Linked DNA regions of Mytilus edulis. The protein of the gene in region 1 interacts with the protein of each later gene in a biochemical or structural test. Links are inferred from orthologs where the notes say so. Each region holds a gene or a part of one and is shown in the gene's direction. Other genes may lie near its edges.

Region 1 (7,646 bases):
ATACAAGAGACCGTTAAAATGACAACGATCAACATTTTTTTCGAAATAATCAGTGTTACTGTTTATGCAATCCAGAGCCTTACTCAGAACAGCAAAAGTCAATTTCAACACAATCAATCAGACCTCCATTTTGTAACAAGAAACATTAATAACATCAAATGATTGTAATAGATTAGATCAAGTAATCTCAATTTGTTCGATTGGAATTGACATAAAAGGTATTTTCCAATTTGGATTAGACTCTAGAACTGCATGATGAGAACAATATAAAAAAAACTTCACTTTCATTTTCATCAGTAGCATACCAAAAGTTTAAAGGCATTGGTTGTATGGTTTTCTGAGTTTATATGGTGCACACAGAAACAGATAAAGATGCCTGAAATCCAGAACCCCTGAATGTCTGCCCAGTGTTCTTACTAAATTCAATAAACCAGATTATGTTCTTTCATTCATCATGTTCATAATATATAAGGATATAGGAAGATGTAGTGTGAGTGCTAATGAGACAAATCTCCATCCAAATAACAATTTATAAAAGTAAACCATTATAGGTCAATGTACGGCCTTCAACACAGAGCCTTGGCTCACACTGAACAACAAGTTTTTGGGGGAAAATTTTGTTGCTTATGAAGGGAATCACTGAAGCATGACTGGAGGGGGAAATTCTGGATCCGCCACTGGATATAATGCTGTCATCATAGTCTTCAGAATTCATTACAGACCTCTATTAATCTTTTATAAAATAAAGTTCCATCTATAAACACTCTAATAAGAACAGAAAATTACACTACAAACTGCAGTTATGTCCCTTATATCAACAGCTTTAAATAGAGGCAATTACAAAAATTACAAACCAGACTCAAAATTGGTTCCTTCCATTTCAGAAAATATTCATAAAACTTTTTAGCAATCCAGTAAACATTAATATCATCTTCCTCAATATTACTTAAAGCTTCTGAGATAGTAAACAAAGCCATATCATCTGGGTCCACCTGAATATATAAAAATGAATTATCACATTATCACACACACCTAGCACAGAGATTTTAAACATGTTACACATATTTATAATTTGCAGTACTATGTCTTGATTTTTCATAATTTTGATAGTATGAAGGAAATTTTTAAATTAAAAAGGCAATATTTAAACATTTTACCTAGATGCAAACTATTCAAAGTCCATGAGCTATGACTGAAGATGCTGTGTCATATAAGCTCTAAGAAATGAGTATTGCCAATACTTATTAAATTGCATACTAAATACTAAATTGATTTATCATAAATAGTTCCCTTTTAACTAAGGCTTCAGAAACTTTACTCTGGATTCATTTATTCTTGTGTATAAAAATTTCGTGGATTAAGGAGAAGTTATATCTTAATGAGTATTGGATTTTAAGGCAGTGTAAAAAGATATTCAACAAACCTTAAAAAAAAAAGTGTTTTTCAATGTACGTTTGTTTTTGTGGTTTATCTAGATCTATTTTAATGAAATCCATGAAAACCAGTTCTACACCAATAAAAATTAAAAGCATAACCCGCTAGCTTCTACTTTGTTAAATATGCAAGACCATTATAGCAAAAATTTATTCATGTAATTTTCTCTTTATCATGTTTATGGAATGATAAGAATAATGGCCAAAAAAATAGTTTGAAAATAAGTTTTTTAGTAGAAATTATGAACATTGAACATGCAGAAAATTCAAAACTTCAACAATACCATTTTTCTTAAAAGACAGAGAGTCAGCTCTTTTTTAAAATTATGTTAGTCAGAAAATTGACATCCGATATAAAATAAGTACTTGCTGTTAAGGCAGGGCTAATATAAACTTACTAGTTCTTGTTCTTCAAAAGTCAGCATACCAGTTTCTAATTTGTACATTTTTAGAACCAGTAATCCTGCTGTGGTAGAGTTGTCTACCCTTCTCATCAATTTTAGGGCATGAAGTAAATCGTTATATTGTTGTTTTCTTTGGTCCATCACAAAATCATGAGATCCTTGACCACATGGTAAAATACCTTAAAAAATAAAATGTTTAAATGTAACCTGTTTTGTCAACAGTATTTTTTTGTACTCTAAAAAGTACTTTATCTTAATTTAACACATCACTACATATATGACACTTCATTCGATTTTACTTGAAATGTGTAGCATATTTGAAGCTACTAGTGGAGTATAAACTGCTTACCCTTCTGGAGTGTCTGGATTGGGTTTACAGAATAGAGAATAATGAGCCAAAACTACAGAAAAGTTGGCCATAAAAAAAAAGATTATTGTAAAATAGGTAGGAAAAGTCAAGAATAGAAAATCAATGGGGAGCTAAAATTAAACATTTAAAAGAGTAGAAAACAATGGTCAAAATTTATACAGAATAGAAATAATGAATGCTGAAGCAAAGGAACCCCACCCAATCTTGTACCTTCTTCTTGACTCCCTGAGAGCCTGAGTATTTTTCATTTTTTCATTGGTGGTCTCATAAAGTTGCTCAATTTTTTCTTACTTATAAAAATGTGACAAGTTTTGTGGATTTCTGTCTGGTTTTCTTCAATTTCACGGGCGGCTCATCTAAACTATATTGCTCTTTGTTCACAACTAAATAGATAAACTGCATAACAAACAGAGATAAATTATATTAATTTAACAAATTACCTAAAATAACTTTCCATAAATATATTCTGTACTTTGCTGGCACTTGGAACATCAGACAGAATTGTCGTAATTTGTCAATGTTCAATGGATGCTCCTTCAGGAGTATTTCAATGGATTTCTTCTCTTCCACTCCACCTATTCCAAACTTCTTGTAGTAGTATGTACGGAAATTTCTCTCATCTGACATCTTAACTCAGATATACAGTAGATAAATGTTTGAATTATCTCCCTTTGACTACTTCTAACCAGAATATTGACAGCAAAGATTCAAGCAAACTGTTAAAATTTAAAATATTTTAATTAGATATATGGCACTTACGATTTCAAAAGTAGAATCATTCAGGAAGATATAAACTGAGGAGAAAAATTTCTTATCAAATTTCAACCAGTGCTATAAATGCAAACCTAAGACATGTAAGAGTGTTCTCCATACATATATATATACAAATATAATGTAGAGCTAAACCTACATGCCTTCATGTTGAACAAGAATGTGTCCACAGTACACGGATGCCCCACTTGCACTATCATTTTCTATGTTTAGTGGACCGTGAAATTGGAATAAATTCTCTAAATTGGCATTAAAATTAGAATGATGTTATCAAAGGGAACATGTACACTAAGTTTCAAGTTGATTGGACTTCAACTTCATCAAAAACTACCTTGACCAAAAACTTTAACCTGAAGCAGGACAGACGGATGGACGCACAGACGGACAGACGAAGGGAGGCACAGACCAGAAAACATAATGCCCCTCTACTATCGTAGGTGGGGCATAAAAATGTAGTTGAAATGATTGTGACGTCTTAAAAAGCTATTTTTGTCAACAACAAAATCTTACAAGGAGAACGGGCCTCTTTCATGCCTTTTTACATATTTTAAGACATGAAGAGACTTTACAAAACTAAAATTAAAATAGCTTTTCAAGATTTCATTATGATAGACACATTTCAATTTCATACGCTTTCCCTAACATATACTTTGTCACAGTAAAAACAAGTACGCCAAGTTCCAGGAGTTACAATTTACTTAAATCTCTCATGTGAATTCCATCACCATGTGATCAAATTGTAAGCTTAACACGTACTTCAATTGCATATGTACGTGTACTGGTTTTTTAAAGAAAAAGAATGTCAACAATGAAAGTGAAACTATGGTTAATCATTTGATTACTAATGCAATGCACATTAAATCATTCTTATACGGTTAAAAACAACGAGAAACATCTATTTTTAATCTATAAAATCAAATCAAACAGACCTATAACAATCCAATTGTACATGTTGGTTTAATCTATTTACATCTGTATTTATGTTTACATCGCTTATATGGTCATCTGAGGTCAAATCGATTAATTGTATTAATTTGTATGCCATTAAAATAAAATCTGTCTTTTTGTTGTCTCTTTACTGGAGGAACCCAGAAGTTATATTCACTATTTCTATTTTCGTGTGAAATGAAGATGTAAATGTCTATTTTATATTTTATCTGGCAGCGAATTTGTCACAGTAAATTGACCTGAACCCGCTAGGGACCCTCATACCCCTCTCCATGGTTTTGGCGTACATGTAAAAACTACTAAGCTAATTAAGCCACTCATGAGTGTGAGTACAATGATAACATCCTAATATTTTGTTTGCAACTTCATGAACTTGGAACAGTGTTACTGTTGACATGCATTTTGTGCTTATACTAGTGAATTATACCTAGATCGAGCAACAGTCTACTCCTTTATAGAAAAGAGAATGTTGCTTTGATTTTAAACAAAAAATCAGGTAGTACAAAACTCTCCCTCTGAACTGTCATCTGACTGTCCAGTTAGTCAGGATGGATAAACCAAAGTAAGTTCCGATAATATAAATCAGCATCAGTTAAACACTTTATGTAAAAGAAGTATTATTCGAAGCTTCCCTAGTACCCAGATTATTTTATTTCGGCTTGTCTTGGATATTTACATTGCTTTAAATATGATGTTTAGCGGTAAATTTTCTGAAATGAAATGATTATTTTTGAACTCTTGATTTATTTTGGATCTAGCAAATGCATCTTTATGTAAGGGCATATAGTTATATAGATTTTCCAGTATATTCATAGGTAATACAAATGATAGCATGTCATATTTGAGAGAGGAAAAATTATACACTGAAAAACATGCCATTTTTTTAGTTTTTTTTCTCCTGAAAATTATTCCGATTATGCAATTCTGCTAACAACAAATATCATTTATTCTCCTATAAAAAAAAACACGCACAATGTCTTCATGTACAGTTTAATTGATTTCAAAGTCCTCAGCAATTGACTTGGTTAGCTAAAAAAAATAACACAAATTTGTGGCCGATACAAAACTTTTTTTTTTATAATGGAGGACCTCTGACTGACCTATGGTGAGGAGCTGGGCCTGTGTCAGTCCTGCTTCAGTGATTCCCTATATAGTCAACCATTTGCTCCACTGGATCAGCCTATGAACTAAGTGCATGAGTTTCCTGACAAAATGTCCACTACCATCCTCCAGTAAAAGAGCACTAGTAGATCAGTCAGTGGCGGATCCAGAAATTTTCATAAGTAGGGGTCCATTTGCTGCCTAAGAGGGGGACTGATCTCGTCACGCTTCAGTTATTCCCTATATAAGCAACCAATTTTTTTTCTCAAAAGGGGGGCCTGAAACTTAGATCTAATTCAGTTGCTACATTTATTTACATGATATTTTATTAGGTATAACAGCAAGTATTACGTTTACCCTGTCGTATTATGGTATTACTTTTACTTGTGTTTTAGATCAATAATATATTTGTCTTATAATTTGTCTTTAAAACTATATTTGTACAATATAAAATAAACTTGCAAAATGCATTATTTGTGCATCATTGTCCAGAAAATACATACACAAATTGTGAAATACAAAAAATGTACAAAGAACTGAAATCAAACAAGAGAAAAACATAATTAAAATGTGAATAGTTTTTATTATTTTATTTAGTGTATTGCCTCATTTAACGATATTTATCATGTTAATGCATATTGATCGAAGATTAAAGGAAATTGATGACAATCTTGAGTTTTCAACAGGTGTTCACTATTTACAATGATTGTATATTCTGGCGCGTGTAATTGTATAGTCTGACGAGTGTATAAAGTTGAAGGTGTTAATTGGATGTTATTGTAGCAATAAAACAAGGGACAAGCGCTGCGTTAATCTCATTTGATGTTCTACTTTGTGTATTACCTTTAATAGGATGAAGCCACAGCTAACGTTGGTCCTATCAGGAAAAATTAATTGTACAGTTAGATATAATATAAAAAACTACACAATCCCTTCCTCGCAAATTTTTACTTTCTTCATCTATCAATAGAATTATCAATTTATTTCTGCCCCTAAATTAAAAATGATTAAATGCATATTTTTTTATATTTGATAAAAAAAACTGTTTTCTTGTCGCTAAAATTATTCTTCTTGATGCTTCTTGTCGCTTCTTGTCACTTCTTGACGCTTCTTGTCGCAAATTAGTGAGACCTGTGACAGTGTAAAACCAGGAATCCGTGTCCATTCTCCCAAATAAACTTGTTCCTGCCAATTCACATTTGTCCCCTTTCACTTTTGCACCCTGCATGTTCACACCCAAAGTCTGTTTACACCCTACATATTTGTTTTCTTCAAACATTTGTCTAATCTAACTATCTGGCCAACTGTCTATTTGAGAGTCAATTGCAATAACACTTTAATAGAGTTGGACTCTTAACCAGGAAAAAGAAAATGCTACTTTTTAAAAAATTTTAAAACTCTACATACAAATGACATACATGACATATATGTACTAAGCCAAGCATGGAATTGTACATACACATGTACATTTTTATTTTTAAATTACAAACGAAAGTGAACCAACGCCTGGTGAATCTGTAGTACGATAGTCCCAAAAGTTGTGACTGACATGACTTAGTGATCAAACAAGCTGATAGATACATTGATAAAGACAACAGGACTCAACAGCAATGATACCTTTACTACATGTAGTGTGGCAGTGAAATAACAGCGATTGCAATATTGTTGTATATAGTTTTAATAAATCAATGTGAGCTTCTATAGATCTTTATTGCTACTCTATATTTGTTTACGTTTCAGATAAAATCATGGAAATTTTAATCTCAAGGTTATACTTATAATGTCAGACATTGATGTGGAAGGTTCGGATGATGAAATTATAGTTGTTACAGAATCACCCGAGCGGCACATTGATATTGACGTGGAGGCAGTGACAGATGAAGAATTATTTCCAGATTCCGAGGTTGTTAAATTAAAACTATTTAAGATTAAGACAATGTTTTATATCATTTATTTTATTGGAATTTGTTTTGCCATTATATGTCATAGTATGTACATGTGCATAGCTGAAATGGTAAAATATTCTTCCTAGACAAAATACTTATAGCCAATCAGAGGATGTAAAATGGAATTATTAATCAATAATTGTTGTTGTATTTTAGGGAGAAGACAATGATTCATATGTCAGTATCGTGTCAGAGGTCAACGTAGAGGACAGTGATGATGAAGATGTAGAAGTAGACGTAGACACACTTCCAAATCATGTAATTGATCAGTTTATAATCTATAATAGAAATCTATTATTTTGCCCTCGTCATTTCACCCAAAATTGTATGGCAAGTTTATGATAAACAAGTAACAACTTAATTTCAATGTTGAGATATTTTCAACTTATGTTGATGTTCGAAATCAAGAAAAATAAGACTATTTGGGTATATGTTGAAGTTAATGCCTTTATATTGAAAAGCAAACCTGAATGGCTCTCAGATTTTCTTAAAGGCTACTATGAAATCCACTTTTGGGAGTCCTTGGCCTATGTCCCAGAATAATGCAATTGGCTTGACTCATAAATACTTTTAAGCTGCAAAAAAAATATTATTAAAGAGCTAAAATCAATAGAATATATATATACATCTTGAGAGACAAATCATAACTGATTCATGGACAACAATAATTGTC
Region 2 (7,436 bases), on another chromosome or scaffold:
TAGTTTGACTCCCCCCCCCCCCCCCCCCCCCAAAAAAAAAAAACAACAACAACACCAATTAACAGTTGGGTTGAGGTAATGATTACCAGCTACAAAGAATCAGGTATCGAGAAACCCTGAGTATAAAAAAACAGCTTTTCTTCTTGTTTTTTTTCAAAAATGGAATATCTGACACGTGCCTGTAGAAAAACATACAAATATATTGTATTGTAATTTAACTTGAAACGTCGTGTACAGAATGAAGTCATACCTATACATATTGTTGTTCCTGATTTTGAAAATGCTAATCCTGAGGTTTATTCCCGATTGTCCCACTTTTTAAAATTTTAGAGTTCTGATTGTCCCACATGAAAAGTTCTGATTGTCCCACTTGACTCCTTGAAAAGTAAAGCTATTAAATGCACTATAAATTCTTATTTATTATATAAGTATGATCAATTATGTAATTAATATACCATGAGCCTTAACCATTTATTGTTGATGAGTTTGTGCTAATAAATATTTGTATTTGTACTAAAGAAAGTTAAAGATGCATGTCAAGTAACCTCAACTAGAAACTTTTCCAACTCATTGTTTCCTGTGGTCAAAACTAGGGAGAAAAGTTTCATACAGTTGTTATTAAAATCTATTGATTGTAAATTACCTAAGTCTCATGTGTTATAGTAGTCTCAGACTTGAGAAATAAGGTTTATGTCTCTGAATTTATCATATACAAGTCAGTCAGACACATTTAACACTTTTATTGTGTGACCCCTAGTAAAAATATGCCAAATGTCACTATATTTTGAATCAATAGGATTTTTTTTAGGCACTGGCTACGGATACATGGAAATGTAACAATAATAAAAATATTATTGTTACATTGGGGACTAAATGCCGGAATGTATGGTTGGATAAGGAACCGATTAATTACGAATGTAACAATAATTATTGAGGCTACGGTTACATTGCATTATTGTTAAATGAAAAACAGCAATGTTCGATGGGACTAGTAATATGTACTAAATAATAAAAGTTGAAGACATTATCTTATATTTACAATACATACAAGTATAACATACAATTTTTTGATTTTTTTATAGTACGTCCTCCGGCATGGATTCTGAAATCGGACTCGGACATCTCTTAAACTGAGTTTTACTATGCGTAGTGTTGTGCGTTTGTTTTTCTACATTTGCTAGAGGTATAGGGGAGGGTTGAGATCTCATAAACATGTTTAACCCCGCCGCAATTTTGCGCCTTTCTCAAGTCATGAGCCTTTGCATGGTCTTTGTTAAGTCTTGTATGATTTTTTTAATGTTAGTTTCTTGTGTATAATTCGGAGTTTAGTATGACGTCCATTATCACTGAACTAGTATACATATTTGTTTAAGGGCCAGCTGAAGGACGCCTCCGACGGGTGCGGGAGTTTCTCACTACATTGAAGACCCATTGGTGACCTTCGGCTGGTGTCTGCTCTATGTTCGGGTTGTTGTCGCTTTGACACATTCCCCATTTCCATTCTCAATTTTATACATTTATACAGAAGTTCACAGTGTTAGTTCACAGTTAGCAAACTTTGCTTTTGATGTATCAATTTTTGGTAAGTGCGTTTGTGTAGCTGTATGAAATTTGTGTCTTGATATTGTTTAAGTTTTGTTTCAAACGCATTCCATGCAAGTTTTAAATTTTTCACCCAAACAAAATTGGTAATAGGAATCTCTTCATCTTTTGTTCAAAGTATAATGATTTTCTCAGCCCGAGTTTTCAACAACAAACCATTGAACTATATTTTTCGCCTTTGGCACTACTAATTTGAAGTACATCAAATCCATTAATACCTAAAACTATTTTAACACCATTTGTTGAATAATAATATTTATTATTTATTATCATAACAAGTATTATTTAGTAGACATGAATGAATTAAGCAACAAAACTATATAGCAGATTTAAGTTTAATAAATCTAGCGTACATTGCTGTTTTTCATGTAACAATAAGACAATGTAACCGTAGCCTCAATAATTATTGTTACATTCGTAATTAATCGGTTCCTTACCCAACTTTGCATACCGGCATGCCAATTAGTCTCCAATGTAACAATAATATTTTATTATTGTTTAATTTCCATGTAACCGTAGCCAGTGCCTTTTTTTATTTTTATAGCAATACACTCACCAAACTGACATGATTTTAGTTTGATTCACGACCAAAATGATTCACGACCAAAAAAAAACAACTTTGAAAAAATATGAAATATGACTGTGCTGGTTTAATGTGTATCCTGAATATTATAGTCTGATAATGGCGATACTGAGGATCACATCCCCCAAAGGAGCTAATTATTGTCACTTTTATAGTTTGATTCAGAGAATTTTAAGCGGGTGATTGATTTTACCAAGATTCTAAGATTGGTGGTTGTCCTGACATAGGAGGGAGTTGCAGTACAACCTGCTCAGCAGGTGAACAGCAGGATTAACAGATTAATGTTCATATTACAATATTATTATGTATGTATGTTCCGTATCTCCCTCCTTTAGTAGGAGCACCACCATGGGTTATGGTGTAAAAAGGAAGACATTTAACACACTGTATCGGTACAGATTTAATGTGAGCATTTGCCTATCCAGTCTCCCAGCCTGGCCGTGACGGGTCTTACAACCAGAAAGTTAACCTTCCCCAAAACAATAAGTACAATGTAATAAAGCATACGAACACACCCACTCACCTGACTCGCTCATCCTCAAAAATATAAAAAATGCATAATATAAAAAAGGCACTGGCTACGGTTACATGGAAATGTAACAATAATAAAAATATTATTGTTACATTGGAGACTAAATGCCGGAATGCATGGTTGGGTAAGGACCTGTTTAATTACGAATGTAACAATAATTATTGAGGCTACGGTTACATTGCGTTATTGTTACATGAAAAAAAAGCAATGTACGATGAGACTAGTAATATGTACTAAAAAAAAAGTTGAGGACATTTATTACATACATTTATAACATACAATTTATTTACTGTAATTTTTTATTTACAATAACAATTTCTACAAATCCAGTAAGTTGTTTTAAAGTCCGACGCATTTTTGATGAACGATATAACGTCCTTCACGGATACGTGTACATACAGAATTTAAGTTAGTATTTAAGTTACAGTTAGCAAACTTTGCTTTTGATTATCAATTTGCGTCAAGTTATAAAGCTGTATGAAATGTATGTCTTGATATTGTTTCAGTTTCGTTTAAAACGCATCCCAAGTTTTATTTTTTTCACCATAAACAAAATTGGTCCAAAGTATAATGACAGTAATAAGAGTAGGTGTGCAGTTAAATACTTTAAAAAAGTGAAACCATTGAACAATATTTTACGCCTTTGACAGTCACACTCCATAGGCGGATCCAGGGGGGGCCTGGGGGCCCGGGTCCCCCCTTTCGTGGGAAAAAGTTGGTTGATTATATAGGGAATCATTGAAGCATGACTGGAGCGGGCCCCCTCTTAGGTCAGTCAGCGGGCCCCCCCTTAGGAAAAGTTCTGGATCCGCCACTGCACTCCTAATCTTGAGTAGTATTTTTAAGAACATCAAAACCATTAATACCTAGTAAAACATTTGTTGAATAATAATATTTTATTATTTATCAGTATTAAATTACAAGTATTGTTTAGTACATATGAAAGAATGAAGCAATACAACTACAGAAGATTTAAGTTTAATCAAACTAGCGTACATTGCTGTTTTTCATGTAACAATAACGTAATGTAACCGTAGCCTCAGTAATTATTGTTACATTTGTAATTAATCGGTTCCTCACCCAACTTTGCATTCCGGCAATTAGTCTCCAATGTAACAATAATAAGGGATAAGGTCACCCCGGATGCCGCACAAATGCCTAGACAACGAACGGGAAACCGGAGAGGACATACTTGGAATCCAAACCGATACCGCTAAATGCCCAGCTGTATTCCTGGTAGAGGAAAGCCGAAAATCCTATGATAAAGGATCTCGGAAAGAAACTACCGATCCATTAGGGGAACAGCTAAAACCCTCAGACATCAAATAGATTGGTCTGAAGTTTCCCACATGGAAATTACTAATGGATCCCATCTGACTACATGTCTCAAACAAACCTGAAAATATCTGCAGAAACCTTTCTCAACAAAAAAATATAATCCAAATCATAAAATATACGATGTAAGGATAATAATATTTATCCATGAAATCAATTTGACAAAACAATTTCAATGATGTTGATGGATTGTCTCTGCACAAATTTTCACGTCCGCTCTCATCGGCATGCTCGATTCGAGTCCTGAAAAGAGGGAATCACGGTATAAATATTAATTATTTCACTGGTGAAAGTATAATACGCGGAAATTTAACGCATCCTCCCCTGAAACATAATCCGATTACACTTTGTGTTTTGATTTCCCGCCATCTCAGCTATTCTATTTCTTCTCTTAAAAATGTGGAATAATCAAGGAGGTAAGGCACTATTATGATCAAATCAGCTTGACATCAAAGCGATACATAAGTGTATATTATGTAGTTCAAGATCAGCAGTGTTCTAAATTATCAGGTTCTCTTTTTACAGCCGTCAAATGTACGTTGTCAAATATATCCCATTCCCTTTGTCAATGATCTGATGATTTGTGTTGCACTATACTATACAAATCAATGTATATGCCTAGTCATTACTACAAAGGCAATGGATATATAGCTTTGCTTTAAAGACTTCGGTTGACAATGATGTCATTTTGCACTGTTAAAAGTCAACCGATGTTAATAGTTACAATAACAATTACCTACGGCTACAGAACAAAAAATGAATCATGTTTTATTACTTGGTCATGTCGTGTTATATCTGGAAACTCTTAGGTTTGTTGAGCTCTGGGCCTGTAGATTTTAATAATAGTTCATTGTAATAACTGGCCAATAGACCACTTTCGAGTTTGTCCGTCACCAGAAAAAACTTGTCAGTTATGCGTGCCTTTGTGATTTCATTTACCAGATACTATAAACGTTCATCAAGTGTCTTAGTGATCGTCATTGTGCAGGATATACTAAAAATAATATTTGATCGGTAGGTACTTGATCACAATTCCATTATGACAGCTGTGCTGAAAGACAAAATTTTATGAGAATTCAATTTGCTGAATAATGTGGGCAATATAGCTATAGCTATAGTTTTCCAACCACTTGCTTAACATTTGAACAGTAGTGACGACACCACTATATGCACGATTGATGTTCACTTAAACCAGTTTTTGAGCGAAATGCCTGATTGACTAACATGGTTGGTTATATTTTGTATGTTTCCAGGGGTATGGTTAAAAGTCACAAGGAGGGAAGGATATATGTCCTGATTGACTATACATGTTTGGTACTTTTTGTAGGTTTCCAGGGGTATGGTGAACAGTCACAAGGAGGGGGAGGGGGATACATGTCCCCAGGATTTGGCACGCCGAAAGCAGGTCAAGATAAGAAGGTAGAAATGAATTAACATTTTAAGTTATTCTCTACTCAACTGTATCAGAAAAGTCACAACAAGGAATTATGAGGTCTTGAGACAAAGTGCATATTACCAGTTTTACATATTTACTTCAAAAATTAATTTAGGAAGAAAAAATCTATACAAAACTTTCATATAATCATTCTGTAAGATTTTAGTTTAAAACTTTTCGAATCATTAGTTTCAAACTTGCAGTGTAAGTCACAGTCATAGATGCAGTCTCCTCTAAACAAGATAGACAGTTATGAATGCAAATATATTATAAAGCTGAAATACATGCATGTAGTAAAACATCTGCACATTTCTGTTCGATAAGATTTGATTTTTATAACCACTTTAGAATTATAATCTGAACAAATTAAAAAGCCTATGCCTTATGCAATTATTTCTATAATGAACATGTGTAAAGAAGTGTCAAGTTAAAAGAATCACTTATAATTTTATAGTCTGGATACAGAGCACAGAATCTGTTACCAGTGACTGTTGCTGAAGTATTCAATGCCAGTCAAGCTGAAGACAAATTCTTCTCAGGAGAAATAGAGATTTCACAGGTAGGCTAAACTAATCTTTAATGTACTGTAACTTTTTAGGTCCTTAAAATGGAGATTTATATATTGTTCTGACAATGATAATCCATGTATATGGGACAACATCCCTAATGTGCCTCGAAATGAGGAACAAAGTCACGTGTAAAGCAGTGATCTGGAAGGTTTTTTTTCCTATGGGCCCAGGGCCCCTCAAAAATAAATTTAATGGGCCATTTTAAAAAATAATGGGCCATGTTGTCAAATGAGTGGGTCATTTGAATTGACTTCTGTAAAAACAAAATGTATCAGTATATTTTGGCAAAGAGATGTTTGTACTTACCTTTATGATTTTAAATAAAATCATGGGTATTGTTCTGTGATTTTGTAATTTCAATTTCAATGAATATACAATAACTTCTTCCAACCCGAACAATATTTAAGTTAACCGTTAAATTTATTTACAATGTTTAAACTGGTACTGTTGCCGTGTTCATGTTCATGTTTTTTTTTGTTTGTACATTAAATTTGGGTCTTGGTCGATACCATACTTATTCCAGACGTTCCGTATCAGAGGACATTTCAAGCATTTCCTCTGCACTTCTTGTATTATTATAACTTCAAGGTGTGACAAGAATAACATTATAGATTACCATTAATTAATAGAACAAAACAACAAATCGCTGAAGTCATGTTTACAAAAATGTCAAAACGAGCCAAAGACCAAAAAATGACAAGGACAGTTAAGACTATATTCCTAAAAAGTCTTTGGGGTTCTTCAATCGAAATAATAGAAAGCTAAATTTAATGAGATTATTATTAGAGTTAAATCTCGTCTGTACTAGCCAAATTTCACAAATTTAAAGTTTTTTATGAAAAAAATATATCATGAATGATGGTTAAATACGTTTTTCGGGTTATCAGTTAGATCACATGGTTCTATTATTACAATAGGAAAACACCCGAGACGTTAAACCGCATGGTTCTATTATCGTAGGGAAACACCCGAGACGTCCCAAAAATATATAGGTGCTCCTATAATTGGAGGAACATTACACAGTAACTGTTGTGTACACACACATTGCATCACGGAACACGATCGGAAATCCATTTGACGATTTCTAAGCGTTTCGAAACGAAGTGAAAAATATCGTGCGCCACGTGAGCGCTTACATTTGTCACTGTATGCACCATTTCTTGTCAATATGCGCTATAGGCGCAGGGCGCACGACTTTCCTGATCACTGTAAAGAAAAAATCTCTGTGTAGTGATATTGGACATGTTTCTATTTTTAACAAATGACTGAACTTAATTATTTGTGGTAATTAGGAAAGTAGAGGAACATAGAATAAATGTGTTAAAACTATGGAGCTATTGAATGTGTTCAAAGTATTAAATTTTCAAATAACTTATTGTG

The links.
Region 2: the proteins of E3 ubiquitin-protein ligase rfwd3.S-like (region 1) and replication protein A 32 kDa subunit-A-like form a complex in vitro, tested with the Homo sapiens proteins (3 studies listed by BioGRID, with this or other methods). The link is inferred for Mytilus edulis from reciprocal best matches to the Homo sapiens genes RFWD3 and RPA2.

What each region holds. Positions count from the first base shown.
Region 1 is NC_092350.1:74,942,549-74,950,194, reverse strand, and holds the start of E3 ubiquitin-protein ligase rfwd3.S-like, read left to right. Parts: upstream 1-4,604; 5' UTR 4,605-4,627; intron 4,628-6,767; 5' UTR 6,768-6,807; coding exon 6,808-6,930; intron 6,931-7,129; coding exon 7,130-7,231; intron 7,232-7,646. Other genes in the region: TBC1 domain family member 7-like, read right to left, coding at 855-992, 1,832-2,016, 2,648-2,834. UniProt on the Homo sapiens protein: E3 ubiquitin-protein ligase required for the repair of DNA interstrand cross-links (ICL) in response to DNA damage. Plays a key role in RPA-mediated DNA damage signaling and repair.
Region 2 is NC_092344.1:9,233,923-9,241,358, forward strand, and holds the start of replication protein A 32 kDa subunit-A-like, read left to right. Parts: upstream 1-4,350; 5' UTR 4,351-4,449; coding exon 4,450-4,468; intron 4,469-5,379; coding exon 5,380-5,471; intron 5,472-5,941; coding exon 5,942-6,046; intron 6,047-7,436. UniProt on the Homo sapiens protein: As part of the heterotrimeric replication protein A complex (RPA/RP-A), binds and stabilizes single-stranded DNA intermediates that form during DNA replication or upon DNA stress.